Saccharomyces cerevisiae S288C: one gene and its partners. The gene in region 1 interacts genetically with each later gene. Each region holds a gene or a part of one and is shown on either strand. Other genes may lie near its edges.

Evidence for each region.
Region 2: mutations in YAP3 (region 1) and SPR2 together harm fitness more than expected from each alone (negative genetic interaction), as found in Saccharomyces cerevisiae (2 studies listed by BioGRID).
Region 3: mutations in YAP3 (region 1) and DOP1 together harm fitness more than expected from each alone (negative genetic interaction), as found in Saccharomyces cerevisiae (one large-scale study listed by BioGRID).
Region 4: mutations in YAP3 (region 1) and RER2 together harm fitness more than expected from each alone (negative genetic interaction), as found in Saccharomyces cerevisiae (one large-scale study listed by BioGRID).

The regions. Positions count from the first base shown.
Region 1 is NC_001140.6:81,997-89,150, forward strand, and holds YAP3 (Yap3p), read right to left. Parts: upstream 3,065-7,154; coding exon 2,072-3,064; downstream 1-2,071. Other genes in the region: ETP1 (Etp1p), read right to left, coding at 1-1,725; YHL009W-A (gag protein), read left to right, coding at 3,913-5,154. UniProt on the Saccharomyces cerevisiae protein: Transcription activator involved in the regulation of genes expressed in response to environmental changes.
Region 2 is NC_001147.6:741,254-748,141, reverse strand, and holds SPR2 (Spr2p), read left to right. Parts: upstream 1-1,838; coding exon 1,839-2,549; downstream 2,550-6,888. Other genes in the region: RUD3 (Rud3p), read left to right, coding at 1-617; AIM41 (Aim41p), read left to right, coding at 860-1,417; SAS5 (Sas5p), read left to right, coding at 2,861-3,607; STE4 (G protein subunit beta), read right to left, coding at 3,961-5,232; dynamin-related GTPase MGM1, read left to right, coding at 6,573-6,888.
Region 3 is NC_001136.10:732,919-743,972, forward strand, and holds DOP1 (Dop1p), read right to left. Parts: upstream 7,080-11,054; coding exon 1,983-7,079; downstream 1-1,982. Other genes in the region: NEDD8 family protein RUB1, read right to left, coding at 700-784, 858-1,006; MTQ2 (S-adenosylmethionine-dependent methyltransferase), read left to right, coding at 1,220-1,885; PEX7 (Pex7p), read right to left, coding at 7,555-8,682; ubiquitin-protein ligase SAN1, read right to left, coding at 9,124-10,956. UniProt on the Saccharomyces cerevisiae protein: Required for traffic between late Golgi and early endosomes, and for the normal structure and organization of the endoplasmic reticulum. Required for normal cellular morphogenesis.
Region 4 is NC_001134.8:237,762-244,664, forward strand, and holds RER2 (ditrans,polycis-polyprenyl diphosphate synthase), read right to left. Parts: upstream 4,808-6,903; coding exon 3,947-4,807; downstream 1-3,946. Other genes in the region: alpha,alpha-trehalase NTH2, read right to left, coding at 1,180-3,522; COQ1 (trans-hexaprenyltranstransferase), read left to right, coding at 5,048-6,469; GPI-anchor transamidase GPI18, read right to left, coding at 6,605-6,903.

The DNA of each region.
Region 1 (7,154 bases):
CTTCTTGCTTTTGGATGCCTGTGCTGCCCCATGTGGTTGCTGTATTAGGATGGTACCTTCTTTTACACTCTCATCAGCGTCTTTGAATTTTTCTTGAGAATCTAGATAAAACATTAGGTCCTTGACTTGCTCTTCCAAATCTTGTTTAGACTCTTCTAACGCTTTGTTTTCTCGCTCTAACTGCTCTTGTTTTTTTGATAAGTGATCTAGGTTCGCTTGTAGTCCTTCGATTACTAACATATCTTCCTCAAGCTTAGATTTCTGGGCCATTTCCCTTTTCTGCCACTCCTTTTGAGTGACCTGAAATTGGAGTTTCAAATCTTCCATAGACTTCTTCAAACTTTCAACATTCGAAGAATCAGACGCAGTTTGATCTTTTTCTTGTAATTTCAGTTCATAATATTCTCTTTGAGACTCTAATTGAGATATTAGGACTTGCACATATTCTAGATGATACTCCCTATGCCTTAAAAAATTTGCCGCCAGCTCGCCATCTTTTTTATTAGAGTTCGATTTCTCACCGTTTTTGCTCCTGTTCCCGTAAACAACATTTTGTAGTTCATCGGAGTTGCCTATATCATTGTTGTCATCGTCACCGGAGCCGCCGACCTCTACTAACTTCCCATCAACTTCATTTTGAACTAGGCGATGGACATAATTATCACCCGCATAATCCCACACTCTTTGTGTCCGTATATCCATCGCAAAACAATGTAAAGTTTCTTCATAATGCTTGATTGCGTGTTTGGAATTGTAACGACCGCATCCAACATTACCGCAGATCAAGCAAATCCATAGATTATCAGTGGAACCACATGTTGCACAATGTGCGGAATCACCTGCCTGTTTCAATAATGATTCCCTGCTTAGCCGCAGACTTGAATGTCGACACACTGGACACCTTGAATTCTTCCACTTATTTAAGCATTGGCAATGAAAAGTGTGCTGGCACGGGATCGTTACTAATCCAGTAGTTTCTGAATCCATTCTTTCAAGGCAAACGGGACATGTGGGGAGTTCGACTTTTACCAGTTCCTTTTTTTTCTTAACAGTGAATGGATCAGTAAGCAGATAGGGGAAGTCCTCGTTAGCGGCTGGTCTTTGGAAGAGCTTTTTTTGAAAAACTATTTCTTTTACAGAGATCACATGGCATGTTTCGGGATCCATCCTGCTGAAACTTTTGCCATTGAACTCTTCCTTGAAATTTTTCGCATCAAGTGCATTCCTGAATTTAATTAAGACCGTGAAATTAAAACCCATTCCCTTCTGCTGATTTCGTAATATACGAAAGTTTGAAACTTGCTTATTAACAATATCATCACCAATATAAAAATGCAATAAATCGTGAACGGTAAAATAAGTTGGAACAAACAGGATACATATCATAGTATCATCTCCCGGGATAGTCAAAATCTCCTTCTCATTAAGAGTATTATTGGCATTGCTTAGCTTGAATAGCCTTATTATCCCATGGCCTAAGTATTGTGAAGTAATCAAATCACTTTCCTCTTCTTTTGATGTTTGATTTTTGAAATCAGTTATCATGTCTATTTCCAAGTCACAGACTCTCCAATCCTGCCAGTCTTGATTATTACTTTTAATACTTTCTTCCCCGATACTTTTTGCCTTCAACTTTTTCGGAATACTCTTGAAAATTTGATAAGCGGATTCAACCTGATTTTGGTTTCCAAATTCTAAAGTAATGATATACTCAAATTGATCCATAGATGTGAGGGCCAACCAGAAAGTAATACATTCAATGCTACTATTCCGTTATTGCCTCTATGTGTTTTCCTTTGAACTTTTACTTAATCCGCGGGTGAAATTTCATTTTTATATTTTCCATTTTATAACAGGCCGTCCCCTAAAAACACCGCGTAAGAACATAGTTTATACACTTATATAAGTAAAAGGTGTAGTAGGTTGGAATGGTAAAGGGCGTATTGTGTGTCAATTATGCGATGAAAATGTATACTTCGAAGTCAATAAAAAAAGAACCTGGTTTGCCTCATGAAGATGTTGCCTGCCCTTTCTTATTTAGTGTTTGTAAGTTATTTTTGTCAAAGTCTATTCATTCATTCAAAGTAGCTTCCTCCACTAGAAAATCGATTAAACTTCTTGGATACGCAGGTCCATGGGTATGACAACATTCTTGTCCTTGCAATTTGCTCATAACGTATGTCACATCAAAGTCCCTCTCTTCTGAAAGTTTGTAAAGATACTCCCAGGTGGCGGGGACTGTTAGTACATGTCTTCCTGCTTCGTCAGTATACTGGGTATTTCGCTTCATAATTTCATTATCCTTTAGCGAATACTTGCCTTTGTGATTCAGTTTGCTTTCCAGGACCATAGAGGTAAAAAATTCATCTTTCGTTGGGAAAGAATATTTGTAGTTGGTATCATCTTCTATGTCCTTTGAAAAATTTTCATTACCACTCCGCAGTAGCAGTCTGTTCTCTGCGTTGATTTCAGTATTTGCCTTTCTTAGTTCCTCAATTTCTTTCAATAAACTTTGGCGGTTCCTTTCACTTTCTAACAATTTATCTTGTAATTCTTTCATTCTGGCTTCTTTTCTCTCTCTGAAGGCTTTTTGGGCGGCTCTGTTTTGAGCCTTTTTCTTTGCCTTAGAGTCATCTGGAACATTCTCATTATGAGCAACTGAGGGACTCCTCGAACTTGGAGATATACCATTATTTTTAGAAAAATAATTTGTATTACTATAACTATCATTATCATTATTATTGTTATCTGCCATAACATAGGTAGAGTAGTCGCCTGAAATAGGGGTTAGTTGAATTGCTTGAAGATCACTACCCTTAGGGAAAGATATGTTGTTCTGTAATAGCAAATCATTATTTGATCTGTCAAGGTTCAAAGCAGGACACTGGTCTTCCAAAATTGGGAAGGGTGCTGTTTGCTCGCTCAATAGGTCTGGTTGTTGTTTTATACATTTGCTATCTTCTTGGAATAGACTATTTCTGATACAACAATCCTCCTCTTGGCATTGAGGGTTAATAAATTTCATGAATCCGCTGGTATTATCATCCATATTAGAAGGCGTCATAACAATTGCTTCAGCCTTATTCTTCGTTAGTTTATACTGGAAGTAAAGCAAACACCTACTGCCCCTTTTATCGAAATGATAAACAAATAAGAAAGCTCAGAGGGCCTCCGGTAATATTCAAATCGATCTGTTTTATAATGCTTATTGAATAATAATGCCGTTGCTGTACTCTTAACATAAAGCTACGAAAATCCACTATACATTTTTCTAAAGAAAAAAAAAAAATTCAAAAAAAATTGATTTCGCCCAGGATCGAACTGGGGACGTTCTGCGTGTTAAGCAGATGCCATAACCGACTAGACCACGAAACCAAATTCTTATTGATTATGTTGTATTACGGGCTCGAGTAATACCGGAGTGTCTTGACAATCCTAATACAAACAGTCTTAGGGAAGTAACCAGTTGTCAAAACAGTTTATCAGATTAATTCACGGAATGTTACTTATCTTATATATATTATATAAAATATGAATCATACTGTTGGAACGAGAGTAATTGATAGTGACATGAGTTGCTATGGTAACAATCTAATGCTTACATCGTATATTAATGTACAACTCGTATACGTTTAAGTGTGATTGCGCCTATTGCAGAAGGAATGTTAAACGAGAAGCTCAGACAATACTGAAGCGGTGTTAAAGACCTATTAGTTGAACATGTTATGGTAGGTACATATATGAGGAATATGAGTCGTCACATCAATGTATAGTAACTACCGGAATCACTATTATATTGGTCATAATTAATATGACCAATCGGCGTGTGTTTTATATACCTCTCTTATTTAGTATAAGAAGATCAGTACTCACTTCTTCATTAATACTAATTTTTTACCTCTAATTATCAACATGGCGACCCCAGTGAGGGATGAAACAAGAAATGTTATTGACGACAACATTTCTGCGCGGATTCAATCGAAAGTCAAAACAAATGATACTGTCAGACAGACGCCATCATCATTAAGAAAAGTTTCTATTAAAGATGAACAGGTGAAACAATATCAAAGAAACTTAAATAGGTTTAAAACCATACTAAATGGTTTAAAGGCAGAAGAGGAAAAACTTTCTGAGACTGATGATATTCAGATGCTAGCTGAAAAATTATTAAAACTCGGAGAAACCATTGACAAGGTTGAGAATAGGATTGTGGATCTAGTTGAAAAGATACAATTATTGGAAACAAACGAGAACAATAATATATTACATGAACATATAGATGCTACAGGGACTTACTATTTATTCGATACGTTAACTTCAACCAACAAAAGATTCTACCCTAAGGATTGTGTTTTTGATTATAGGACTAATAATGTCGAGAACATTCCTATTCTCTTAAACAATTTTAAAAAATTCATCAAGAAATATCAATTTGATGATGTCTTTGAAAATGATATCATAGAAATCGATCCTCGTGAAAATGAAATCTTGTGCAAGATAATCAAAGAAGGACTCGGTGAAAGTTTAGATATCATGAACACAAATACAACTGACATTTTTAGGATAATCGATGGTTTAAAAAACAAATATAGAAGTTTACATGGTAGAGATGTCAGAATTAGAGCCTGGGAAAAGGTTTTGGTTGATACAACATGTAGAAATTCCGCATTGTTAATGAATAAACTTCAAAAGTTGGTACTAATGGAAAAATGGATTTTTTCTAAATGCTGCCAAGATTGTCCTAATCTAAAGGATTACCTACAAGAAGCTATCATGGGAACCTTACATGAATCCTTAAGAAATTCTGTGAAACAACGTTTGTACAACATTCCACATAACGTAGGAATTAATCACGAAGAATTTCTAATCAATACTGTTATTGAAACAGTAATTGATTTGAGCCCAATTGCAGACGATCAAATAGAAAATAGCTGCATGTATTGCAAATCTGTTTTCCATTGCTCAATTAACTGCAAAAAGAAACCAAATAGGGAACTTAGGCCTGACTCGACCAATTTCTCAAAAACCTATTATCTACAAGGTGCACAGAGACAACAACAACTTAAGTCCAGTGCAAAACGAACAAAAGTCTTGGAACAAGACACAAAAAAAGTCAAACAAAGTGTACAACAGCAAAAAACTGGTAATTATTGATACCGGTTCCGGCGTAAACATTACCAATGACAAAACCTTACTGCATAATTACGAAGACAGTAATCGCAGTACACGATTTTTTGGTATTGGGAAAAACAGTTCAGTGTCTGTTAAAGGGTATGGCTATATAAAAATCAAGAATGGTCACAACAATACTGACAATAAGTGTTTATTGACTTACTATGTACCGGAAGAAGAATCCACTATAATCAGCTGTTATGACTTAGCCAAGAAAACCAAAATGGTTTTAAGTCGAAAATATACCAGATTGGGAAACAAAATCATAAAAATTAAAACCAAGATAGTTAATGGTGTCATTCACGTAAAAATGAACGAGTTAATTGAACGTCCTTCCGATGATTCAAAAATAAATGCAATAAAACCTACTTCTTCTCCTGGATTTAAACTAAATAAAAGGTCTATTACCTTGGAAGATGCTCATAAAAGAATGGGCCATACAGGAATTCAACAAATTGAAAATTCCATAAAACATAATCATTATGAAGAATCCCTTGACTTAATCAAAGAACCAAATGAATTTTGGTGTCAAACCTGTAAAATCTCTAAAGCCACGAAAAGAAATCATTATACCGGGTCTATGAATAATCATAGTACTGATCATGAACCAGGATCATCATGGTGCATGGATATATTTGGCCCTGTATCAAGTTCAAACGCGGACACTAAAAGGTACATGCTTATTATGGTGGATAACAACACGAGATATTGCATGACCTCCACACACTTCAATAAGAATGCTGAAACTATTTTAGCTCAAATCAGAAAGAATATTCAGTACGTGGAAACACAATTTGACAGGAAAGTCAGAGAAATTAATTCAGACAGAGGTACTGAATTCACAAATGATCAGATAGAAGAATATTTTATTTCAAAAGGAATACATCACATACTTACTTCTACACAAGATCATGCTGCTAATGGAAGAGCAGAAAGATACATCAGAACAATAGTAACTGATGCAACAACACTCCTAAGACAAAGTAACTTAAGAGTAAAATTTTGGGAATACGCAGTAACTTCTGCTACCAATATAAGAAATTGCCTGGAACACAAAAGTACAGGTAAACTACCATTGAAGGCAATCTCACGTCAACCTGTTACAGTGAGATTAATGTCATTCTTACCATTTGGCGAAAAAGGAATAATTTGGAATCATAATCACAAAAAATTGAAACCATCTGGACTTCCTTCTATAATTCTATGCAAAGATCCAAATAGTTATGGATACAAATTCTTTATACCATCCAAAAATAAAATTGTCACATCTGATAATTATACAATTCCCAACTATACGATGGACGGTAGAGTAAGAAATACTCAGAATATTTACAAGAGTCATCAATTCAGTTCACATAATGATAATGAAGAAGATCAAATCGAAACGGTCACAAACTTATGTGAAGCTTTGGAAAACTACGAAGATGATAATAAACCAATTACTCGCCTGGAAGATTTGTTCACAGAGGAAGAGTTATCTCAAATAGACTCAAACGCAAAATACCCATCTCCTAGTAATAACCTAGAAGGGGACTTGGATTACGTATTTTCTGATGTTGAGGAATCTGGAGATTATGACGTTGAATCTGAACTTTCAACGACAAATACTTCAATCTCAACTGATAAAAACAAAATTTTGTCAAACAAGGATTTTAATTCAGAACTTGCATCGACTGAAATATCCATCAGTGAAATCGATAAGAAAGGATTAATAAATACAAGTCATATTGATGAAGATAAGTATGATGAAAAAGTCCACAGAATTCCATCGATTATACAAGAGAAACTGGTAGGAAGTAAAAATACTATTAAAATCAATGACGAAAACAGAATCTCCGACAGAATTCGTAGTAAAAATATTGGGAGTATCTTAAACACTGGACTCAGTAGATGTGTAGATATCACCGATGAATCTATTACTAACAAAGATGAGTCAATGCACAACGCAAAACCCGAACTAATTCAGGAGCAGTTCAATAAAA
Region 2 (6,888 bases), on another chromosome or scaffold:
AATTGAGACAGGCTTTGGAATCCCATGAAAAGGAGAAAGCAGTATTAAAGAATTCTCTAAATGATCTGGAATTGAAGATAGAAGAAGTTGACAACAAAAGGGAAGAAGAGGCTAGAGAGAGAGACCAGGAAGTCAAATCTTTACGATCCCAACTTGACACGGAGATAGAAACGCACAACAATGACACAGAAGCTTTAGAAAGCATGAAAAAACAGCTAGAAGCCATGAAGGAGGACGCCTCTATGAAGGAAAAATATGAGGAAGAATCTAAGCAGCACATCTTACAGATCGGAAAACTACGTCACGAAGCCATTATACTAAATGAGCATTTAACAAAGGCACTGGCCATGTTGAAGAAATCAAGCGATTCTGAATCCGTTGATAAAGAACTGATATCCAATCTATTGATATCTTTCGTGTCCATACCCAGAGCAGACCCAAGAAAGTTTGAAGTTCTTGAATTACTGTCCAATTTCTTAAACTGGGATGAAGATAAGAAACAACAGGCCGGCTTGATCTCGAATAATGAGTCTAAGAATTCAAGCGCTGTATCGAGAACGGAAAGCTTTGTATCGCTTTGGACCAACTACCTCGAGAAAGAGAGTGAGAAAGACTAATCGGGCAAACTAAGTCTAGTTCAGAAGAGCATACGTACTTAGTGTAGCATCACCCAATTTATACTCTATAAACGATAAATGATATAAATCACATCTACCCGGCATCTGGGACTTTTCGGGGGGAAGGACTCAAAATTAAAGGGAAGAAAAAGGATCTGCAACATTTTTTACAGAAGTAATGAACTGGAGAAAAAAGACTTTGGGATAAAGTTGGGGAATACAGCAAATAACACTATTCCAAGATGTTCAGACAATCAATTAGGCCACTTGTTTCAAATAGACTAACCTTCATTCGTTATAACAGTTCTCCAGCCTACACGGCTGCAGTCAGCCTATTGAAAGGAGATTTGAAAAAGGCTATGATTGCCAAGGATGAGATGAAGAAGACAGCAATCAGAAATATGTTATCTGCCATAAAAAACAAAGAAATTGCTTTAAAAGGGAAGAGCGCTGATGAGTACTCCCTGTACGACATGTACTCCAAGTTAATATCTCAAAGAAAGGACTCGATCAATGAGTTCCTTGCTAACAAGAGGGACGATCTGGTGGCCAAAGAGCAAGGTGAAATGGACATTATAAAGAAATATATGGACCAATTGCCAGTGTCTTCAGAGCTTGATATTGATCAAAATGTGAAGAAATTACTGGACGCCCTCAAAACAAAGGCAGGTGAAAAAAAAGTTCAAATTAAGGAAATCATGGGAGAAATCGACTGGAAGTCATTGCCAACAGAATGGAAGACATCTCCAACTGCCATCAAAAATAGCATTGTTAAGCAATTCAAGGAAATTTTCAAATGAGGTCCTTGTTTTCTGCGCGATGAATCACAGCCCAACCTTCAATAGTAAAAAAGAAGTAAAAATATTCGTCAAAAATTATGAAAGATACTTTGTTAATACATATCACAGTTACATATTAAAATAAAAAATTAATGCTCGCTTCCTTTCACCTTTTTTTTTTTTTTTGTGGCTACGTTTTTGTGTCCCATGGCAACCATGATATGTCTTGCTAACTGTCATTTGCCCTTTGTTTATAAAAGAGGCCGCTTTTGTATAATGTATAAATTATTCTTTTCCTGAAAGTATTTGTAGTTATCCAAGACAAAAAACCAGCAGCTAACATTGCTACACATAACTAAAGAACAACACCAAGCCAGTAACTAGCACGAAAGGAAGGAAAGTAAAGTTTTGTATCCCATTCTCTTTTTTGATCCTTATTGAAATGTTAGGATTATATCTATCCTCCCTTTTCTTCGCCTTTTTTATGGCACAAGTGTTTGCTACCAAATACTCAATTACTTTTACATCAGATGAGTATGAAGAAGATGAAACAGGACAAAATGAACCTGGTCCTTTAGTTTTCCATTTGGATAAAAACTCATTACCACCAGCTCTGCTAAATCAAATGGAGTTTAATCCATACTTAGTATTAGCAGATTTACCGGAGGAGCCGCGAGCTGTTGATTCTCAAGAACATACCGATACGGTCCTTGCTTCCAAATCTGTTATAGATTTTCTGTTGGAAGATCCTCTAACAATAGTGGAGCACAAAAAGTTTTCTCAAATTGAAAGTATTCTACATGAAATTATGGAAGACAGCATACAGAAGAAAGTCGGGGCAGACGAGGTATTTGAAGAGATTCCGAAACCGAAAATTTACGCGTATGAAGATATTTTAGTAACTAATATGAGCATCATCAATAATAGTGAAATGCCGACAAGTACTGCAACATTAACGAGCACCATTTCTTATTTATCTAGTACGACAAGTTTAGCTTTATCCACGGGTGTTACCAGCGTTGAGATTTTCCCAACAATCACCCCGGGAAATATTACAACTATTGGGGGATACGAAAATTCATCATCCTCCTTAATGCCGTCGATGGGAATCTTATCTTTTCTATTTGGTCTGTACTTGTTACTTCACCCTTAAAGTTCGGCAGTCATATAATCAAAGTTTTGATAGAGAAAGCATTTATATAACATATAAGCAAATGACCAATTAATGGTATTATTTAGTGACGTTTACAGCTGGCGCGGTCGCGTTACACGGGCAAGAAAAAATCAAAGCCACATCAATAAGTCATCACCATTAGAGAGTTGCACGACAACAAACTAGAACAGCCATGTTCGGGTGAAGAGGAAGTGCAGCAACTCAAGTTTTTCTACAGACTAAATTGTTTTTACTCTTGACTCCAAAAGCCCTTTTTTTTTTTTTTGGTGCCATATAATAGACGCTCTTTTATGGATCATTCAATAGAAGTCACTTTCAGAGTAAAAACACAACAGGTTATAATACCGGAACAAAACATCCGGGGAAATGAACTTCCCTTACGTCGGTGGCAGATGGAACTCCTCATGTTAGATGCAACAGGAAAGGAAGTGGAGCCTACCATCCTCTCTAAATGCATCTACCATTTGCACTCTAGCTTCAAACAGCCCAAAAGACGACTGAACTCGCTGCCATTTTTTATCAAGGAAACCGGTTGGGGAGAGTTTAACTTAAAAATAGAATGCTTTTTTATAGGTAACGCTGGAAAGTTTAGCATTGAACATGACTTAACGTTTGAAGATGATGCATATGCAGTTGACTATACCGTTGATGTGCCTCATGAATTCTCACATCTCAATAGTGAACTATCTAAATATTTTGATCTCCCGTGGAAAGTAGTGTCTCCGGAGGAAGAAATGTCTCTTCGTATAGCCGATTTGCCCTGGATTAAAAGCCTTGCGCTTATAGATGAGGATATGATGACGGACGTGGTTCAGATGATATTGAATGATCCTGCAGTACAGAGAGCAATTGAAAATCATCCCAGAAGGGAGCAGTTTTTTATGTTTATAACACAACTACCAGATGATTTGTTAATGAAAATTCAGGCATTTTTGAAATTACCGAACAAAAATTCCACTAAACAAGAAAGGACAAATTTTGGGTCAGACGCAATACATAAGGACGAGCCAGTGAAGGCTCATAACAAGCTAAAGTAGGGACAGCCATCATGAAATTAAACAATGCCTGAAAACATAGATGATTCTAGCAAGTTGGTCAAATAAGTCAGTGAATAATACTGTTTCCAAAACGATTGAAAAGAATTTTTGAGTGCATGACACTTTTGTTCGTTTTTGTTTCGTTTATCCAAAGAGAAAAAGGAAGCAAATGACAATGCTTTGAATTTTCATTGTTGAATGTTTTGACTTACTTTATTAAAGGACGTTTTTGCGCTTCCACAGAACTAATGTTACTGTTGTTATTCTATGTAAATATGGGATGGGTGTAGGTATGTATATTTATATAATAGCATCCATTGATAATTACTGCTCACAGTATTTCCAATTCGAAGCTATTGATAACCTGGAGACCATATTTTCATGGTTGAGTCCCATGAACCTGTACATACAGCTAACCCATCTGGACTCGAGCGCACACCAGTGACTCTGCCACCATGACCTTCTAATTTTCCAACAATCTCTCCTTTTAATACATCCCACACAACACAACCAATGTCTGTATAGCATGAGTACATCAATCTTCCAGATGCACTAAAATCTAAAGAAACAACGCCTTGGTTGTCTAGATAGCTTGAGCTTGTTGATTTTAAAGTTTGTGGCGATTGCGCGGTATTGTACTCCATGTTAGCTGCCATATAAGTAGGGGTAGGGGTACGTTCTTCATAACCTCGAAAAAGAGAAAAAGTAGCAATAGAACAGTCCGACCTTAAATCATACATATTTATCGCACCATTGTCACTTCCTGCAACAATCGACATCCCGTCTTTGAAAAAACGAAGTGCATTAATATCACTATCGTTAACGTAAAAGCTTTGTACAGCGGACGGAGATCTGCTATCCCATATGTAAGTATACCCGTCTGATCCACAGCTAGCGAATGTGTTCGAAGAATTTTCTGAGTTTGGCTCTTCAGGAATAGCTAATGCCAAAACATCACCTAAATGGTCAGAATATTCTCTCACCCTCTTTGCTTTCGGTATATCCCACAAGGCACATGTCATATCCCCACTTGCTGTCAATATATGTGCGTTATCTGTAAATTCAATGTCAGAAATATAGCAAGTATGTCCTTTGAAAATTGACGCAACGTTTTGCGCTACTCTGTTTTCTTTCGAAACTCTATAAATGGTACAGTTATTGTTTAATCCTGCGCTTGCTACCAAAGTACTCGATGGCGAAATAGCGCAGGAAAGAACCCATTGAGAATCTAATGGAATAGCGTTCTGTTTTAAACCTGAAGCACTGTCCCATATAAGCATAAAGCCATCTTGACTTGCACTCAAAATACGTTTTGAATCTCGACTCCACCGAAAATCTGAGATTTTATTATTATGGCCTTTCAACACGATATTTGGCTTTAAGTTGATCTTATTTTTGGTCAACGAAGTAACTTTGTTGGCCATCTGGAATAAGCTTGCATCTTGTATCTTGTGTTTTGCTTTATTTATTTGAGCATGAAGCTGTTTACTCTCTTGTCTGGCGGCCTCTATTTTATTTTGAATTTCATCCTCCACTGCAGAGATATCCTGTAGACTTTGTGGTTGTATATACTGTTGGGTGACATTATTAGAATACGTTATCGAGTCCATCTGATGTGCTGCCATCGTAATGTGTACCTGATTGAGCTGTACAGTTTTTTGAGTATTTTCTTCCTTGACTTAATGAACTAGCAATATCGTATTTTCTTCCCTCTTTCCTTCCAATAATTCTGGCCTATTGACCTTGAGTTCTGGCACAAAGGAGATTATGAATAAAATGTGCTTTACAGCGAGTTACTACAAAAAGGGGAAGAAAACAATTAGAAAAGTGATAAGAGATTTTGAGGATACTGTTTCGATATTGAAGGGATTCAAGTCATGTGAAGGATGGACTTCCAAAAAAGTTTTATGTTTGAAAGTTTAAGTTACAACTAATATGAAACAGGCAAGTGTCAGTTGAAAACAATCTGAAAAAATTTTCGACACACAGAAAAACAACTGTTGGGTAAACCTAACAGGGCTACAAGTCAATCTGTTAAGGCAAAAAGCCTCACAAACTTTTTCCTGCGTAACACATGTGTCTTTTTTTTACGCAGTATCTCTTCCTGAAACATTTTTCAACGCGTGTAAAAATTTGCATCTGACGAAAGTGCGTACAAAGGGTTGTGGTCCCAAAAGAGGTAGTACACGCCGAGAATTTGCACAGGGTACTGGTTACAAAAGGTAAGTACCCCCCGCAGGGACGGTTGAAGCTATTGAATCTTCGTCTCATCGGCTGATATCAAAATCCGATCATACATACCCATCTCAATCTCAATAATTGACATTTCATTTAGCCAGAGAAGAACATCGACAAGTAAGCTGTTCTTCTGCTCGCTAATGGTAAATGAAGTAGTCGCTCTTAAGTAATTATAAATAGTACATCTCTCTCAGCGGATGACATATTGTGATAAAATTTTAACGCAGGTGTCAGTAAATAACAGAGTTGTAATTAGTTTTAACTGCAAAAGACTTCGCAAAGAACATATGGCGGGGTTTATCCTTGAAAAAACGGTTTCCATAGGAAGCCTAAAATATGAATGGATCTAGTGTACTCTTTGAGGAAATATATTTCAAATATTTCTGTCCATGAAAGATTTACTATGAAATTAACCCTCATTCAGCGCTTCGTATTCGATGATCAATATGCAAGTTGTTAATATTTCCTTGTACCGTTAAAAACAAAATAGTAGCGTTCTATTGAAAGGCAAGACATAATCAGCTAGGAAGGTTCACACCAGTTAACGGGAGAACACGAAAAAGCCTCTTTTTGGGTAGTACAGATATCATTTTATTCTTAGGCTTTTCCATTCTTTTCGTACTTATAATATAGCCTCGCATATTCACCATAATACTCTGAAAGCATGAGTAATTCTACTTCATTAAGGGCCATCCCAAGAGTGGCGAACTATAACACATTAGTAAGGATGAATGCGAGCCCAGTACGGCTTTTAATTCTGAGAAGACAGCTTGCTACGCATCCGGCGATACTATATAGCTCTCCTTACATCAAAAGTCCGTTGGTGCACTTACACAGCCGCATGAGCAATGTTCACAGATCAGCACATGCCAATGCTTTGAGTTTTGTTATCACCAGGAGATCGATATCACATTTTCCTAAAATTATATCTAAAATTATTAGGTTACCCATATATGTGGGTGGCGGGATGGCTGCTGCAGGGAGTTATATAGCTTATAAGATGGAAGAAGCTAGCTCTTTTACTAAGGACAAACTAGATCGAA
Region 3 (11,054 bases), on another chromosome or scaffold:
ACAGAGATCCTATCAGAGAGTAATACTTATGATGAAAACAAAAGTCAATCCATTCGGTTTAAAAAAATGACAAACCTATATTTGATTAGATTAATCAGGCGTCAATAACGTCCTTAGAAGTCCCTTTGCTAAGACTGATATCGTTGGCAAAAGCATGCTCCGAGTTTAGTATATACTTCCACTTGATAAAGTTGTAGCGCAAAGGATGCTTTTCTTAATGAGAAATTCGGTATACTACAAGAGGACATCCAATCGTGCTTACAAAATTGCCCTGGAAGACATGATTGAGAAGAAATGGCGAAATATGTCTTTTGGTCAGATAGTCTGTAATCGCATATAACAGTATGCTTGGTTTGCTCTTTATCACCACGCTTTTCCTCTCTTTCCAGCGCGAACCATGCAATGGCCAGCTTTATGAAATTTAAACCATAAAGTCATATGAGACCAGCAATCAGACCATATATAGCCGTACTATGCTATAACGGATAATTTGATAGATACTAAACAGTTTTAGTTCACATTTCTCGTCTAAAAACAATTAATTTATTATAACAGACTCTATAGACTAAATTGTATGTATTTTTTTTTTTGACAAATTGGGGGCGGTAGCCTTCCAAAGTCCAAGTGAACTTATGTTCGTTTTGTCTTCTTTTCTAATGAACACCTTCGATAAAATTCCATAAATGACGGAAAATGGTTCTAGTTACCACCTCTTAGTGTTAATACCAAGTGGAGTTGCATTCCCTCTACTAGATGTGCATCCGTTACTGTTAATTTATCATCACTATCCTGGTCGTTAGTAAGGTCTCAAAAACGTAAATAAACTTAAAAGATAATTAACCACTGAATGAACATACATTTGTTTTCCCTGGAATATAAGTCTTTGTTGAGATGGTGGAATCCCTTCTTTTTCCTCCAAAAGTTCCTTGATGTGATATACGAGATCTGATTCCTTCAGCTCAACAGAGATCTCCTTCCCAGTCAGTGTCTTCACTTTAACAATCATCGGTTACGGCTGTAAGGAAGTTAATTACCTTCCTTTATTTATTCCTCTGTCGGAATACTTCATTTGAATAACAGAATTTTGGTTTTTCAGCTAAAAGTTGTTCGTTTGCCTTCCCGAAGACGCCATCGGAATTTGATTTCATATAAATATTGATATAATTATACTCTGAAATATAATATTGATAAACTTAACACAGGGTGAGAAAGGTGAAGTATGCTACCGACCCCTTATGTAAAATGCGATTACGATAAAGTATATGAGCCTGCTGAGGATAGCTTCCTCATACTGGACTGTTTGGAAAAAGAGCATGATTTTTTGAAACAGAAATTTGGTAATCGTTTGGCCATCGTTTGCGAAATTGGTTCGGGATCAGGTATCGTCACAACATTTCTAATGCAAAACAAAATAATACCGCAGGAAAATTCCATCCACTTAGCTGTTGATATCAACCCATGGGCGCTCGAAGCAACTTTGGATACTGCGAAGTTAAATTCATGTAAAAGTTCTTTTTTAGAAGTGATTCAAGCTGATTTAAACTCCAGTATTCGGAATAATCAGGTTGATGTCCTAATATTTAACCCACCATATGTGCCAGCAGAATGTGTGCCAGATGTCCCAGGATCAAGAGAGGAGGCAGACCAATGGCTAGATTTAGCGTTATTGGGTGGAAAAGACGGGATGGCGATTACTGATAAACTGCTACGACAATTAGAACAAATTCTTTCTCCAGATGGTGTTGCATATATATTATTTTGTGCAAGAAATAAGCCTAAAGAAGTCATTAAGAGGTTTGTCGATACTTACAAATGGAATGTGAAACTTATTGAAACGAGAAAAGCGGGATGGGAAGTCCTCAGTGTGTACAGCTTTACAAGGTGACAGTTGCAAAACCTTTCACGTTATAATTGATAACCTGTGTCTTTACTCAAAGCGTATAACTATATTTCGGTTTATAAAGAAAAATTCATAGCTATGCTCATGACAGAATATCTTTTTTGAGATCTTCACCACAACCATATAAATCAACTGACCCTAGTCCGTAAACTTTCTCATAATGTAGATAACTCAAATTCTGGAAGAAGCTTCTTAGTTGCGTGTGTCTCTCGATTTTGTGAATGCCTCGTAATAATGGGAGACCATCTTTTAAAGTTGTCGGTAATTCAAGATCATCAGTTTTGGTTATTTCGTAATCTTTGAATTCTGCGATTTCATCTACCAGCGCGACGAATGAGTTCGTTTTATATACGCAATTTATTGTATCAATAACAAAGATCCACTCATTCGTAGAGGTGAAGCCTTCCATGTTGAGTAAGAGTAGCAAATCCAAAGTTTTACATACTTGCAATATTGTTTGTGGATCGACTTCTGACTGTATTTGAAGTGATTCATAAAATTCTTGCAAATTAGTTTGTAAACAGTAACTGATCATAGACCAATAGTCATTGAAATGGGACTCTGAAAATCTTAAAAGTAAAACCCTTAGTAAGATCCAGCAGCTTCCCTTGAGCTTGATATCTTTGGACACCAAATAGTGGAAAATGCAACTTATTAAAGAGGAAAAGTGCAACAAATATGCGTCATTTGGCGATACCATCAACAAGTACGATATTTTCAAAAGGTTTTGGCACTTGTACTCGACTTCAGAATCGCTTCCTAAGTTAAACGTGATTAAAGTCGGAGTCACACTTGAACGCTTGGAGCCAATTTCTAATAGTAAATCGTTCAAGATTTTTGACTTATTTTCTGGATAAATGGACCATTCGTAAATAATCTTTTCCCAAGTTTGATCGCTGCCAATTACCGAAAGTTTTTTGTCATTTTGGAACAATTCCGCAATTAAAAGCCTCCAACTTTTAACTTTTGAACCTAAATGGGATACGACCGCGGCCAATTCTAAGACATAACCTGGAATAGTTTTTTCACTTTTGGGTTTGATATAAGGGGTTAGGCATTGATTTACAATTGTCGCTAACGTTGTATTAAACTTGTCTCCTCCAATTTGATCGTTGACGATATATTGAACACGCCATACTACAAATTCTAAATCTTTAAATGAATCAGGGTGGCCACGATATAAGTTCGTAAAGTTTATAAATGCATTAGGTAGGTATTTGAAAAACACATCAGATATCTCCCTCCTAACTCGTTTTTGTTCTCCAAACTGCGTTTTACTTACTTTTCCAGAAATAAGGGCAACAAGTTTTAATATAGACAACGAAACATCAGAATAAAGGTTATAATTGGTTGCTACTTCTCTGAAAAATAGCAGGAAATCCCCATAAAACTCCTCCATTGCAGAGTTTTCTACAGAATCCACGTAGTTAAACAAAAATGCAATAATCGATTCCCCGCTTAATCTTTTTAACATGGAAGGCTCCCCTTTAGTTAATTTAGTTGTGCTTGACCTACTTCCGTCACGATTAGAAAACTTGACAGATGCCGTTCTGTTGTATCTGATAATTACACCATACAATAAATGTGGTATTGTAATGGCGGGTTTATTGCCGTCGAGCACATGTACTAGTGTGACTGTAGTATTGTCTGATCTAATGCTGATCAAATTTTCCAGAAGTTCCAAAGGTTCTAGTAGAAATAAGGTTTCCAACAGTTTCTTCGACCTAAATTTGAACTTGTATGAGTTATGATTAGTGGCGTCCAGGCTAGAATCATCGTTAGATTTACACGAAATGTTATGGGCCCAATACCAGATATCTAAACAGCATGAAATCACCTGTCTGAAAGATTGTAGTATTACGTCTCTTTCCCCCTGAATCTTACTTTCTTCATTGGAAGAATCTGACGAAAAAACGTTTGAAACAACGGATTGAATAAAATCACCCTTTAGATTAGACCCAGAAAAGTATCCTTCCCTTTCCTCGGTGACAAGGTAACCATGTGAAATCTCTAATAGCTCTTCCAGACCACCCAGAAGCAAAGCTATTGGTTGGTAATAACCACCTTCTCTCTTTTCTAGCAAAAACAATCTCTGAACACACTGTACAAGAGATGCAGACAATGGTAAAATCATTCGAAATATAGAATTCTCAAAATAAACAATGCTTTCGGAAAGAAGCTTCACATAGGCCGTTACAATAAGAGGGCTTTTCATATTTGAAACGCTGGTAACAAGGAAATCGATATATTTTAAATGGGCAGCATTGTCATCAAAAATGTCTAGTTTAATACCATTATCGTGTGATAGTCTGAGAACCTTCGATACAATATCTAACAAGGAAACTGCTATTAACTCGGGCTCAATTCCTTCTTCTGCAATATATTTAGACGACATTTGCAGCAAAAATATGACAATGTCCTTGAAATTTTGCTCAGTTCCATCGAGTAAGATATCCAAAAGAATCAGAGCACTCCTGATACTTTTCGCATGTGTATTGCTCTTTATATTTAGAAATCTCATCAATGTAACCAACAGCAAACTTTTATATGTGGAAACGTCTTCATTCTTCCATATGGTCGAAGATTTTATTGAGGTAAGCTCAGTGGAAAAAACTTTCCTAGTGCGTCCATTGTTTGTTTTCAAAACATAAGCAAGCATTTGGAACTCATATGTGAGCATATCAAGATCATCCCTTTCGTCTAATCTTTCTTTTTCGAGACGATTAACCTTTAAAATATTATCAGTCAAAATGTAAAATAATCTTGAAGCAGATCCCGAGTTTAATATCGATAAAATCCACTTTGAAACGGTTAAATAAAAAGGATTCTGGTCATCAAAAAGTTCGCCCAAAATTAATTCAAGAGGGCGCCTAATCAAGTTTGAATCTGAGTCTAATTGTGTCCATAACAGATCTAACACGCTTAATCTCTCGGATATATCTTCCTCTTCCACAAAAGTATACACTAACGCACTTTCAATAAATTTGGATGGAATAAATCTGTTTAAAGTCTTTAAGTTCTTGACACCTAGTATTTGATGGCGTGGATCTTTTAAAGATTTCCATACGGCCATCATGACTACTTTCAATAATTTCATCGATTCAATGAATTCCATGCGTGAATATAAGTAGTTACCAAAAATTTCCACAATTCCAACGATTTCTTCTGATTTTGCATCATTATTAGATTCACAAAGCCTGGGAATAGCCTCAAATATGCTCTGAGTTATTTTTTTATCCGACCAGCTTATGTGAGATCGTCCTTTAAGTTCTTCAGACTCAGGTATCTTTTCGAAAATAGCTATAAATAATTTGGAGCTTTCATTGATATTTTCCAAGTCCCATAAACTTGAAAGAAGCTTCTTCTGAATCAGGTCTGCTATTAAAAAAGTTAGATCTTCTGTTGTAAAGGGTGGCAAACGCTCAGCTATATTTTCTTTCTCTAAAATGCTAGATGGATTAGAAACATTGGTATAAAACCCACGTATTTTGGCCAAAAGTTCTTCGCAGCTTACTTCATCATCGTGCTTTAGTTTTGAGTGACTGAGAGGGAGAAGGGCTCTCTCGGGGATATAGTTTAACAATTTGTTGTACAAAGAAAATTTTTGGAGCTTATAAATATTGTCGAAATCTTTATCATTAGATGGAAGGGCCAGTAAAGTTAATAATATCAAAGGAAGGTGGCGTACGATAATCTCTTCGTCGTTTCCAATATTAAAATTTGTTAATACGAAATCCAAAATTTTTAGGTTTTTGATGTCTTCAAGTTCTTGAAATAGCTTTCCCCATATAATATTTGTTTCAGTATTGTCAAAGAAAGTACGTGCCGTTTTCATTATTTGTTCGTTTTGTTTAAATTTTTCCGAGGAATAGAGAAGTGGGATGAACAATTCAGGAATTACAAGTGAGCCAATTTCCCATCTATCCATTACTGCCATACTTATCCTGAATGCAGTTAACACGGATTCTTCTTCTGAAAGAAGGTCGCTTAAACCTTCTAAAAGGGCGCTTAATCCATATTTTGTAAAATATACATTACTTTCCTCGTTTGCTGACTTAACCGAGGTAGTATATTCCATGGAGTTCCCGCCGTTATTGTTTAGCATGCCCCCAGCAGTAGGACCGAGAAGCCAGTTCCATATTCTTCTGTTCAAAGACATATCCTTGCTCAAAGTAGTTCTACAACAACTCATTATCAATAACTTTTTATCCTCAGAAGTAATAAGAACATTCAAAACGGGAGAGTCTAGCCTCAACCTCTGTAATAAAAGGTCCAAAACGCTCCTTTTAATAAGAATATCATTTTCATCTTCTAAACAACCGACAAGGCATCGGATAAGTAGACCTGGTTCAGGGGTTACTAAATCTTTGGCAGCAGGCAATAAGACCTTGAAAGCTTCTTCTTTTCTTTTTTTCCTGTCTAGATGAGAATCGTTGGTTTCAGTTTCACTTGGGTTCTCTTCCGCTTCCATTTTTATTTTATTTACTAGATGAGGTACAGCATTCAACGACGGAAACTTTCTAGTCAACCACGTGAGTCCGCCCAGTCTTCTGCCTTTATTTGCAGTCATGACTAGAAACAACGTTTGCCAAAATAAGGAATCATCATCCAAGTTCTCCTGCAGAGTCTCAATGAGTTTTAAAGTTAAAGGTAAAAAATCGTTGCTTTCATCATCAATTCCTGGCAATAAACTAGAAATCAAAGGTCTGATGAGCAGTCTTAACGTTGTTTGAGGCAACAGAAGGATATAGTTATCGTAAAGCTCTATCAAATGTGACCTAACAGACATAGAGGCATAAGTCATCAAAGGTAAAATTCCCGGGATCCAAATGTTACATTCTGTAGCCAGAGTTTCAAGGCCAATATGTTCAAAGATATACGTATATACTTCTAAAGTTTTCTGATGAACACCTGCTGGTAACGCCGGCGATAATGAGGATGTCAATCTTCGACTTACTTGATATGGAGAAGGAACATAGTACCTTACATTCTGAAATTTAGGTGACCAGCTTTGCAACGCCTTTAATAGTGTTCCCAAACTAGCAATATAGTCCGCCCATTCTGTTACAGAGTCAAATCTTTCTAATGCTCGCTCGACATTAGCACGAAACTTCTTCTGTTTGGAGTCTAGTTGTTTATTATTTGAGTCAATTGTAAGGGGCTTTAGTGGTAAGGACATTTTTTGTCGATCCTCTCAGAAAAAGCTGCTCTGTCGGCTTTTTATTTCACCGTTATAAACATAATTGGGAGGCTTGAGTTTTATATTAGGTATTGCTATTGTTCCTTTTCCAGTGAGATCGAAGCTTAGCCTTTGAAAAAACCAAAATCACTTTTGATCACGTGCCTCGGGTGGAACGCCCAGCAAATATATAAGTATGTCGTTTATTAATAAAACGGTAATCGGACTCTAAATATTCCTTCTTTCAGCACTCGCTTATGTCGTTATAAAAACTTGATTAATTTGAGTAATTAGCAGTTTTTGCCGTAGGTATGTTTTTAGAATGTTCTTTTGCACAGTCAGAAGCGTTGTTACCCATAATTTCGTGTTGAGAATATTAAATAATTACGTAAATGATCTGCCAAATGCTGACAATGATTGAAAAATAATTTTAAAGTTTAAATAATGCAAAAAATTTGTGTAAAAAGAATATGTGTCAACCTAAGCCGTTCCATACAAATAAATTTCCATCCCATGCAGTTGAAGCCACATATCCTGGCTTTCCCCACAAGCTCCAGTCAGCTCCAAATACGAATTCTGAATGCTGTGTGAAATTGAAAATGGAACCTTTAGTAGCATCCGTAGAGTTAGTTTTATATGTTTCTTTTGCACCATCGTTGCTGAGATCTCTCCATATTCGACAGGTCATATCATATGAAGCTGACATTAAAATATTGGAATGATGAGGGGACCAGGTAACTTTTCTGATTGCCAGCCCGTGCGCATTAGGGATTTCATTGATGCATGATGAATTGTGAAGTTGGCCGGGCACAGTCCTCTTGATAGTCGCTGATTCATTTTTATTTAGCATCCTAATGTCCCAGATTCTAATGGCATTATCTACACCTCCTGTGGCAACTACATAAGGTCTGTATTTGTTGAAATCGCAAGTCAATGCTTCTAGTCCTGAATGCACTAAAAAATTATTCTGATTTTTGCCGGAAGGTAGTCTAATGTCAAATAAGCTTGCATAAGAATTCCCTGAACAGGATAATACGAGATTTTGGTCGTGGGGCGAGAACTGTGCTTGGTATACACAGTTCCTGTTTTTTGAAATACCTGTAAAGCTTTTCTTTTTCAATATAATGGCGTTTAATGGATCCACCATTTTGGTAATCTCTAAAGGTCGTGGAGTAAGGGTCATTAAACTTTGCTTTCTTAGAGGGGACCATATTTTTATAGATCCATCCCATGAACTACTTAAGAAATTCTGCCTGTTGACTAAGTTCCAATTACAACTGAATACTTCTCGTTCATGCTCTTTAAATATAGCAATAGGAAACTCTTTAAAGGTTGTATCAAACAAGCGTAATGTACCATCGCCCTGTGCAACCAACACTTGGTTTTCATGACTTTCGTTCCATGCAAGATCAAATAAACAATCCTGTGTTAAAAAGGAATTAACTTCCACTATTCTACCTGAACGATCAATCTCAAGGATGAACAATTTTCCATTCCCAACCAGGCCAAAGTTTGAACCAGCAGCTACCGCGAGCCTGTTATCGAAAAAGGGAGAATACTGGACACCGTACCCACTAAAACCTTGCATATGATATCTGAGCATGTTGTATAAATTATGCAAAAAGTTAGATGATAGTCCGTTAACAATATGAGATCTCTGCACTTTTCGAGCGTCGAATTCCAAATCAGAAAGAAAACGATTTCGACCTCCGGTAAAAGATTTTATGGTAAGAAAACACAGTTTGTGTTCCACAGTTCTTAAAAGTGTTTTCACCTTTTACTGTTTTGCGAAACGACTTTTCAGAGGAGGTTATGTCGGTGGTTTAATTTCTCGGCCTTCATATTTACTTGCTGGAGACATGCAAATTTCTGATTAACAATGATTATAGAACTTTAAGTAGAAGTAAAGAAAAATAAGTATATGATATATATATATAAAGATGCAGATAAAAAAAAGGTAAAAGGAGTAGAAAATAATGTCTGAAAATGGATGACTGCCAATAGGACATATTTTCATATTAACATACTTCAGAAGCGGTATTGTTTATTGTGATGATCGTTGCTCATTGTTATCATTAGGGACGTCGTTATGAATGGTGGTGTCCGAACTGCTTGAACCTTGGCCTTGAGAGGGATTTTCGTCTGTAGGAGGAAAGGCAGCAGAATTGTTGTTGCGTAGTTCGACGGTAGTAACATCACCATTTTGATTTCTATAACTGGCAACACCGGAGGAAAACAAGTTATTTCTGTTGTTCTCACCAGTACTTCCACCTCGTTGTTGATCATTGCTATGGTTATTGTCGTTATTGTTGTCTCTTGAGCCATTCGTAAAATGGCCTGTTAATCGTGAAATATTTTCCAAAAAGGAACTTCCTTGCGTTGTATCAGAGGACGATGAGTCATTACGTCCTTGGTTGTGAACAGTTTGTGCTCCGGGTGCTGTTGTTGCAGAGGTATCAGAAGTTCCCCTCTGAGCAACGTTGAATATGTGATCCAAAACGGCTCTTAGTCTGTTGTGGTGAGGGTCTGTAGCGTCACTACTAGTGTTATTTGAGTTTGGACCGTTCGCTGCTGATGGGCTTGCCGAAGAATCAGAAGCGGAAGGATTCGGATTTGGACTGTGGAATTGGAACAAAGTCAAAGGGATGGGAACCCAGCGCGGACTTTGATTGTTATTCGAACCACCAGAATTAGAGGGTGGATTTTGAGTAGTTGAGCTCGGCCCGTTGACACCGTTTCTATCGCTATCATTAGGCGGTAAACGGACTGGATTGTGTAAAGGTTGGCCGTTTTGAGGCACTAAAAAAAAGCCTGTTCTTGATAACATCTGTTCGCCAGAACTTGCATTTCCGATAGTGGGAACCGTTGTATTGGACGTGTTTTCGGATGGGGCGGAACTATTTTCGTTAGTGCTATTCACTGCAGTTGGGTCGTATAAAACTCGTCTAATACGTTCAAAAGCAGCTTCGTTAGCTGCTACTTCATCCGTATCTTGTTGGGCTGCACGTTGAACACCTACAGATTCGCTGATCTTTTGTCTACAAAGGGGACAAGAATTTTCTAATCTTGACCATTTGTAGATACATTCCCTCCCAAAAATGTGGCCACAAGGTAACTTGATTGGTGAGTGTTTGTAGCTTGGATTTGTTTCTTCATCATTGAGAGTGCGTTGTTGTTCAGTGAGAGGAATAGAAGGCGGTTCAACAACCGTAGCATTTGTAATCGATGGGTTACTGTCATTATCGGCGGTTGTGCGTAGGGGCGCACCTTCATTATCCTTCCTTTTTTTTGTTCCTTCAGATTCCTCCTCATTTTCAGAATCCCTTTTTCTTTTTGCTTTAGTTGAATCAACTTCATCTTCATATTCGTCATAACATATACTACATAAGGGCCCTTCGGCCTTGGGTAGATCAGAAACTTGCAGAACGGGGAGCTTATCAAACTCATCCTTTGATATTCCTTTTGGTCTATTTAATAGTCTGTTGAATCTCTCCATTGCAAGCTGAGCAGCAACAGATATGAAGCTGTTCAAACGGTCTTGTGGAGTAGACGCAGGAACATCACGAAAAGATAAAACAAGAGCACCGTCGGGTTGATGGCCCCCATTTCCGATGCCAAAGCTGGGCCCAGTACCGTTGGCAATCGTGCTACCGGATGCTGCGCTGTTGTTTTCGTTATTATCATTATTAGATATATTGCTCAAATGTGCTAATCTCTCCGGAGTGAAATAGGAATACTGAATGGAAACGGTTATGTTTCTTGTTTGCTCAGCACCACCATTGAGTGGACCGGAAGCTGCATTTGAATTATTATTATTTTCAGCATTATTTGGTGATGTATTTGTGCCTCTGTTTTGTTCTTGACCACTTTCACTCATAATGAACAAAAGCTGAGGTTACAAGACTATGAGAGAAAACAAAGGGGAAAAAAGGGAGAAACGAACTATCCTGAAATGCTAAATAATTTCTATCTATA
Region 4 (6,903 bases), on another chromosome or scaffold:
TCATTTCAAATAAGAGAGCGAGTAATTTTTAAATAATTTCTTTTCTGAACTACTTAAATCGCTATGTACCTTGCGAAAATTATTCTTTAATAGTTTAACTAAAAGTAAAAAGTTAGAAATCATAAATAAAAAATCAAAGAGACAAATCTCGTTGCAAAAGCTTGAAAAATAGTGCTTTACCAACAGGTTGGCAAACCAGAATGCTAACAAAACTTAAAATCCCATTTCCCAAGAGGATCAATCAATCATATTTACCTTGATAGTATAGGATACAAGTGTCTGTGCAGGCCTCCGATAACATGTAAAGTAATAAAAGTAGGAGTACTTGCTTTCAGCAGAAAATGAAAAAAAGAACGTTCAAACAGACTGAAAATATAGCTATTCAACTGGCACCTACTAATATCAATAATAATAAATTAATCTTGAGCAAATTGATCCTACATAAATCATGTGACTTATTTATTTAATTATTATTAAGTAAAAAAGATTTTCTATTTAAATTTATTAATTAATTTTTTTTCTTAAATAATTATTTTATGTTTTTGTTTTCCGAAAAAGAAAAATATTTCAACAAGAAGTATCAATATATTTCTTGCAAAAAATTGTTCACCGAGAATTGACAAAAAAACCTTACGTCGGTGACGACGATATACAGATCCTATATTCTTCATGTATGTAATAGATTCCCATACCTTCTTCGCATTTAAGACACTAATAGAAATGAAAGCTTTCTATTAGTCATTCTTCCTATGCACTAGACCACGCAAAGGTGAACCGGCTTGGTACGAGAATTCTATCACACGGTAATGATAGTGTTCCCGATGTCAAGCAGTCTTATACAGTACTACCCAAGAGCTTAAGAATAAGCAAGAAGATCTGGCAAGCTACAAGGTACTCATAACGATCTTCAAAGCGTAAGTTATGATCTTATGAAAATCAGACTTTTTTGTCTCAACAAACTCCTAGTTTGAAGATGTTACTGAAATGCCCTTCAAACACTTTTACTTGAAAATCATCGATTACTATTCTAACCTTCACAAATGAGCCTTTACACAACTTGATTAATAATAATATTTGACCTTACTCTAAATCGTCTCAAATATTACTGAGGCACAATCTCATGGTTATTGATAGAAAGAAGAATATAACATATATCTTATTTACATATGTTCGTCAATATTATAGGTAATACAATTTTTTCTCAGAGGGTTTCAAACTATTGAAAAATGGCAATGGTGGACTACAAGCAGCGAGAGCCCTTCTTGCATGATTATTCATATATTTCAATCCGAGCAAATAACTTGTGTTCACCCAACCAAAGCCTTCTGTAGCGACGCCCTTAAAATCAGCACCTTGATTACCATATTCCGCATCAACGCGATGCGGATCAGTCCCTCTTGTCACATCATATTTTTCTACCACCATTCCGTTATAATCAACAAATGATTTTGTAATCATGTACAGCCACCTATAAGCCAATCTTGTAGCTACTTGTTGATAACCATATGCAGATAAACCTTTCCAGGCTAATATTTGGTGCGGCGCCCAACCAAAAGGATAATCCCATTGCCTGATCGGTCTATCAATAGAAATAGGACCTCTTGATTTTTCTGTGCATGCAACTAGTCCGCCGAGCATTTCTAACTGAGGAAGAGCTTTTTCTACTGTGATTTTTGCTTGCTCTTCAGTTGCAAGACCAGCCCACAAACTCCAAAAAGTCGTTGCAGACTCATAAGACGTTCTGCATTTCAGTTTCGTGTTATAATAGAAGAAAAACCCTGAATCTTCGTCCCACATATACTTATTAATCCTTGTTTTCCTCAGTTCAGCTAGCTCCTCCCAGTGTTCAGAATCGGTTACCGTTCCATCATTCTCATCTTTATATTCATTACCAAAATACTCCTTAATGACGAAAGCAATATCTTTCTCATATTTATAGAGCAAGGAGTTTAGATCAATTGTCGCTAAATATGCACATACACCTTCAAACCTATAAGTCGTGTCATGTCCTGACTCTCTCACGGCACGATCATGTAAAAAAAATGCATCCAGTTTGGGTTCTTTAATCATGCCTTCGTTATAAAGGTACCTAAGCTTTTCCAGAGTAACATTGTACTTTTCAGCATACGGTAATAATATAGTATCAAAATGATCTGGTTCAGTTTCCGGAGGGATACCAATACCATCAGAATGATAACAAGACAGCCCTGTCAGAGAATCTAACCTAGGGCTCGACATCCACACCTCTTTATATTCTTTAATAGCAGCTCTGAACGCGCGTTTTAACAACTGAATAGCGTTTGGATTATTCTTACCTCCTATCTTTTCAAATACGAGCAGAGCCATATCGGTTAGGAATGGTGGCTGAGATCTGCAAAGATAATAACTCCTATTAGCATTCAAAATTTTACTATAGTGATCAATTTCGAATATAAAATGCTCCACCATACCTCTTGCAACATCAACCTTATTACTTTCTATGAGTCCCAGTGCCATTAAATATGAATCCCAGCCATACAATTCATTGAATCTACCGCCAGGTACCGCATAAGGATAACCAACTAGGGACCTTTCACCAGTAGATGGATTAACGTGTTCTTCCATAGCCAGGGCTAACAAACCCGGTGTATCATTTAATGATTTAACATACTCTGCTGTAATATCTTTTGGTAAGTACTCCACTTCAAGTTTTAAGGACGGGTTCATTTGAGATGCCTGAATGTAAAATTCGTACTGCTCTGGGCAGTTATATGGAACATAAATTCTTGGATTTTTAGCGCCTGGCGTATCTATTTTTGAGTCTCTAGCAATTTCTGCAATATTATAAAGATCAACTCTTCTCGTTAAACTCGTCCAAAATTGAGTCGTTATCAATCTTGATAATCTATCAACAGGGTTTTCATTTATACGCGCCTCATCCAAAAATATTTGGTGTCGTCCGAAACTTTTTGCAATGGTTAGTTCCTGCAACAAGTTAGAAAGCATATATGTTCCCCTAACATTTACATGTTTGAAACCGTTGGAATTGGCCGTCCCGACTTTAATAACTTTGGGCCCAGTGTCTTCTATGGTAATTTGGTGATTCTTGTCTGTGTCCTCACTAGCGAGCAGCTCATCTAAAGCGAGATCCACATTATCAATATAAAATCTACGGTTACCTTGGCTGCTGAGGAAGCTGTCGTCTTCAGAACCCCTCCTTTTCAGGGTATAATCCTTCATTCCGTTTTTGAAGTCAGAAACTTTATTGAAAACACTCATAGTTCTGGTTCTATTTAGTCTATGAATTTTTGACTGTTTTCTTGGATCTGTTATTGGTCCATAATAGACCTCTGCGTTGGAAAACGGGTCAAAATACTCATGCATAGAGGACAACCGCCGGTGATGTCTTCTACCACCTTGTTGCCCCTCTTCTTTCAACGGCCGCTGCTCTGAACCACTTGAAAGTGGCTTTATGTTATCTTCACCATCATTACCTTCGGATGGAGGATTTATTTCCGTTACTTTTGGTAAAAAATCTACCATTATTTGAGTATATGCAGGTCTCCTTATATACCAAATGTCTGATCCGAACCTGCGTCAAATATATTTGCAAAGGAAAAATATAAATAAATAAATAAAATTGAGAAATAAAGAATATTAGTTTTAATGGAAAACAGTTCCTACAAGCGCTATAACATATGAAATATACATTAGTCGAATATTAACTTTGGGAGGTAATTACAATTCCTATCCGCTTTATATAATTTAGTGGAACTGGCACGCCGCTCGGAAAAATTGGACTTCAAATTACCCCGCGCGGAGATTTGCATTATAAACTCTATAAAGATGCGTGAATTTCTACTCATTTATTACTAATTATTTGAATGTTCTTTTGCGAACTCATTTATCTTGCTCATTACTCTATAAATATCTATGCCATGTGGTAGGAAAAAAATGCAGACCTTTCTTAATTCAACTTTTTTTCTTTCAAATCGATGGGGTCCCCATTGGTTTCCTCGTCATAATCACCTTCCTCTAATCTGTACTCTTTGTTTAAAAAGGATTTGTGAAACGAAAATTTTAATAAAATCCATGCCATCCGTATAGGTCCAAACTCTGGCCATAAACAATCCAGCAATTCGATGCGTACGCCCTTACTCGATGCCTGCCATATCAAAAAGTCACTTAATCTGGAAACGCCACTTGTCCTAATCAATAAATCTAAAGGGGGTACCCCCGCCGTGTAGAGATGCGATTCTAACGTGCTTTCGTCTATAGCGGCGCCCTTCTTATGTTGAACAATTGTTTCTTTCATGGCATGCAAGATTTCTTCCCTGCCTGTATATGGAAAGCAGATATTTAACGTGGCCCTTTTGTTGTTCTTTGTAGTTTCCACAGCAACCCGAACATCTTCTAATAGAGACTTATCCAACAAAGAGAGATCGCCGATAATTTTAATGCGTACCCCATACTTACAGGCCAGCTCTCCACGTTCTGTGATTTGTCGTATCCTTTCGCGCGCTAAAGTCATCAGTGATTCAACTTCCCGTGAGCTCCTCTTGAAATTTTCAATTGAAAAGGCAAACACGGTAGCCGTATCGACTCCTGCTTCATAACACAGTTCTAAGATTCTACTCATACTAACAAATCCTGCCTCGTGGCCCTCCTTTACGTCCATCTCTTTCTTTCTAGCGAATCTCCTGTTCCCATCCATGATGAACCCAACATGTCTAGGTACACAGTTAGATGCACGCAATGTGCGCGAAAAGATGTTTTTTGTCCACTTTAACACAAATGAATGACCAGGTATACCACTATCCGTTTCCATACCGTCTTTTACCTGTGTTTACCCTATTTTTACTGCTTAAGTTCTATTGAAACCTGTCATTATTACGAAAATTTTTTTTTTTTTCATTCTAAGCATTTTGTTGGCATCTTCGGAAAAAGCCCGAGCGAGGGTAACAGGGTTAGGGGATTAGAAGATTAAAGTAAGACACATTATAATCTATAGAGATTTTCTACAACACAAGAAGTGTGCCATTCAGTCCGAATTGAGTACAGTGGGACGATGTTTCAAAGGTCTGGCGCTGCTCATCACATCAAATTGATTTCATCTCGAAGATGCCGCTTTAAATCCTCCTTTGCAGTTGCTTTAAACGCTGCCAGTAAGTTGGTAACTCCCAAGATTCTTTGGAATAATCCCATATCATTAGTCTCGAAGGAGATGAACACATTGGCCAAAAATATAGTTGCCCTCATCGGGTCTGGCCATCCGGTGCTAAACAAGGTTACTAGTTACTATTTTGAAACAGAAGGCAAAAAAGTACGTCCCTTGTTAGTGTTGTTGTTGTCAAGAGCACTTTCTGAAATTCCCATGACAGAAAGAAATCACTTGAAAATTGACAAGTCGGATGTTCCTGAGGACCCAATTTACTCTAAACCTAGTCAAAATCAACTATTTCAACGTCCTGCAAGTAGCATATCCCCACTACATATTCTTCACGGTATTAAACCACTAAATCCCTTGACAAAAGGTCCTGAGCCTTTGCCAGAAGAAACTTTTGACAAACAAAGAGGGATTTTACCCAAACAGAGAAGATTAGCAGAGATTGTAGAGATGATACACACTGCGTCTTTACTTCATGATGACGTTATTGATCATTCTGATACAAGAAGAGGAAGGCCAAGCGGAAATGCTGCCTTTACCAACAAGATGGCCGTTTTGGCGGGTGATTTTCTCTTAGGGAGAGCAACAGTGTCAATTTCAAGATTACACAACCCCGAAGTCGTAGAACTAATGTCTAATAGTATTGCGAATCTTGTCGAAGGTGAGTTCATGCAACTGAAAAATACTTCCATTGACGCGGATATCGATACCATCGAAAATGGCCATAAGCTACTTCCGGTTCCTTCTAAAAAGCTTGAAGTTAAAGAGCACGACTTTCGTGTTCCAAGCCGCCAACAGGGGCTGCAATTATCTCATGATCAGATTATAGAAACTGCATTTGAATACTACATACACAAGACCTATCTGAAGACTGCTGCTTTGATATCAAAATCTTGCAGATGTGCTGCTATATTATCTGGGGCATCACCTGCCGTTATCGACGAATGCTATGATTTCGGTAGAAATCTAGGTATATGTTTCCAACTCGTAGATGATATGCTTGATTTTACTGTGTCTGGAAAAGATTTAGGGAAGCCATCCGGCGCGGATCTAAAATTAGGTATTGCTACTGCTCCAGTCTTGTTTGCATGGAAAGAAGACCCATCTTTAGGTCCACTAATTTCACGCAATTTTTCAGAGAGGGGTGATGTTGAAAAAACTATTGATTCTGTGAGACTCCATAATGGTATAGCGAAGACGAAAATACTAGCGGAGGAATATAGGGACAAGGCATTACAAAATCTACGGGATTCTCTTCCTGAATCTGATGCTCGTTCTGCCCTAGAGTTTTTAACTAATAGTATACTAACAAGAAGAAAGTAAACCTTGAAATTTCAAATAAAGGGTGAAGAATAAAGAGAAAATGAAGAAGGTCATAGTGTCGCATTATTCTATATTCTATATGTAAATAGTTTTTATATGTTTTTAGTAAAAGAAGAAATATACAAGCATTAAGGATCAGGCTGGTGGTAAAAAAGCTGCAAATAGGATAGTCTGTAAAGGTATCCAGAATGCCAACCAGTATATGTAAAACTTGACTATCTTATCGTCACCTTTCGGATTTTCCATTTTTTTTGGATCAGAAGTTTTAACCAATCTATCAGCCAAATACCAAAGGTGCAAGGGTAAAAAGGAGGCTATACGATTCAGAATTTGGACATGGGCAAAAAAGCATACTATGACGACCAGTGCTCTGGTGATCCATACGAGAGCCTTCAAGTTATAGGAGGGATAAATTTTGCTGAAATATATGGAGG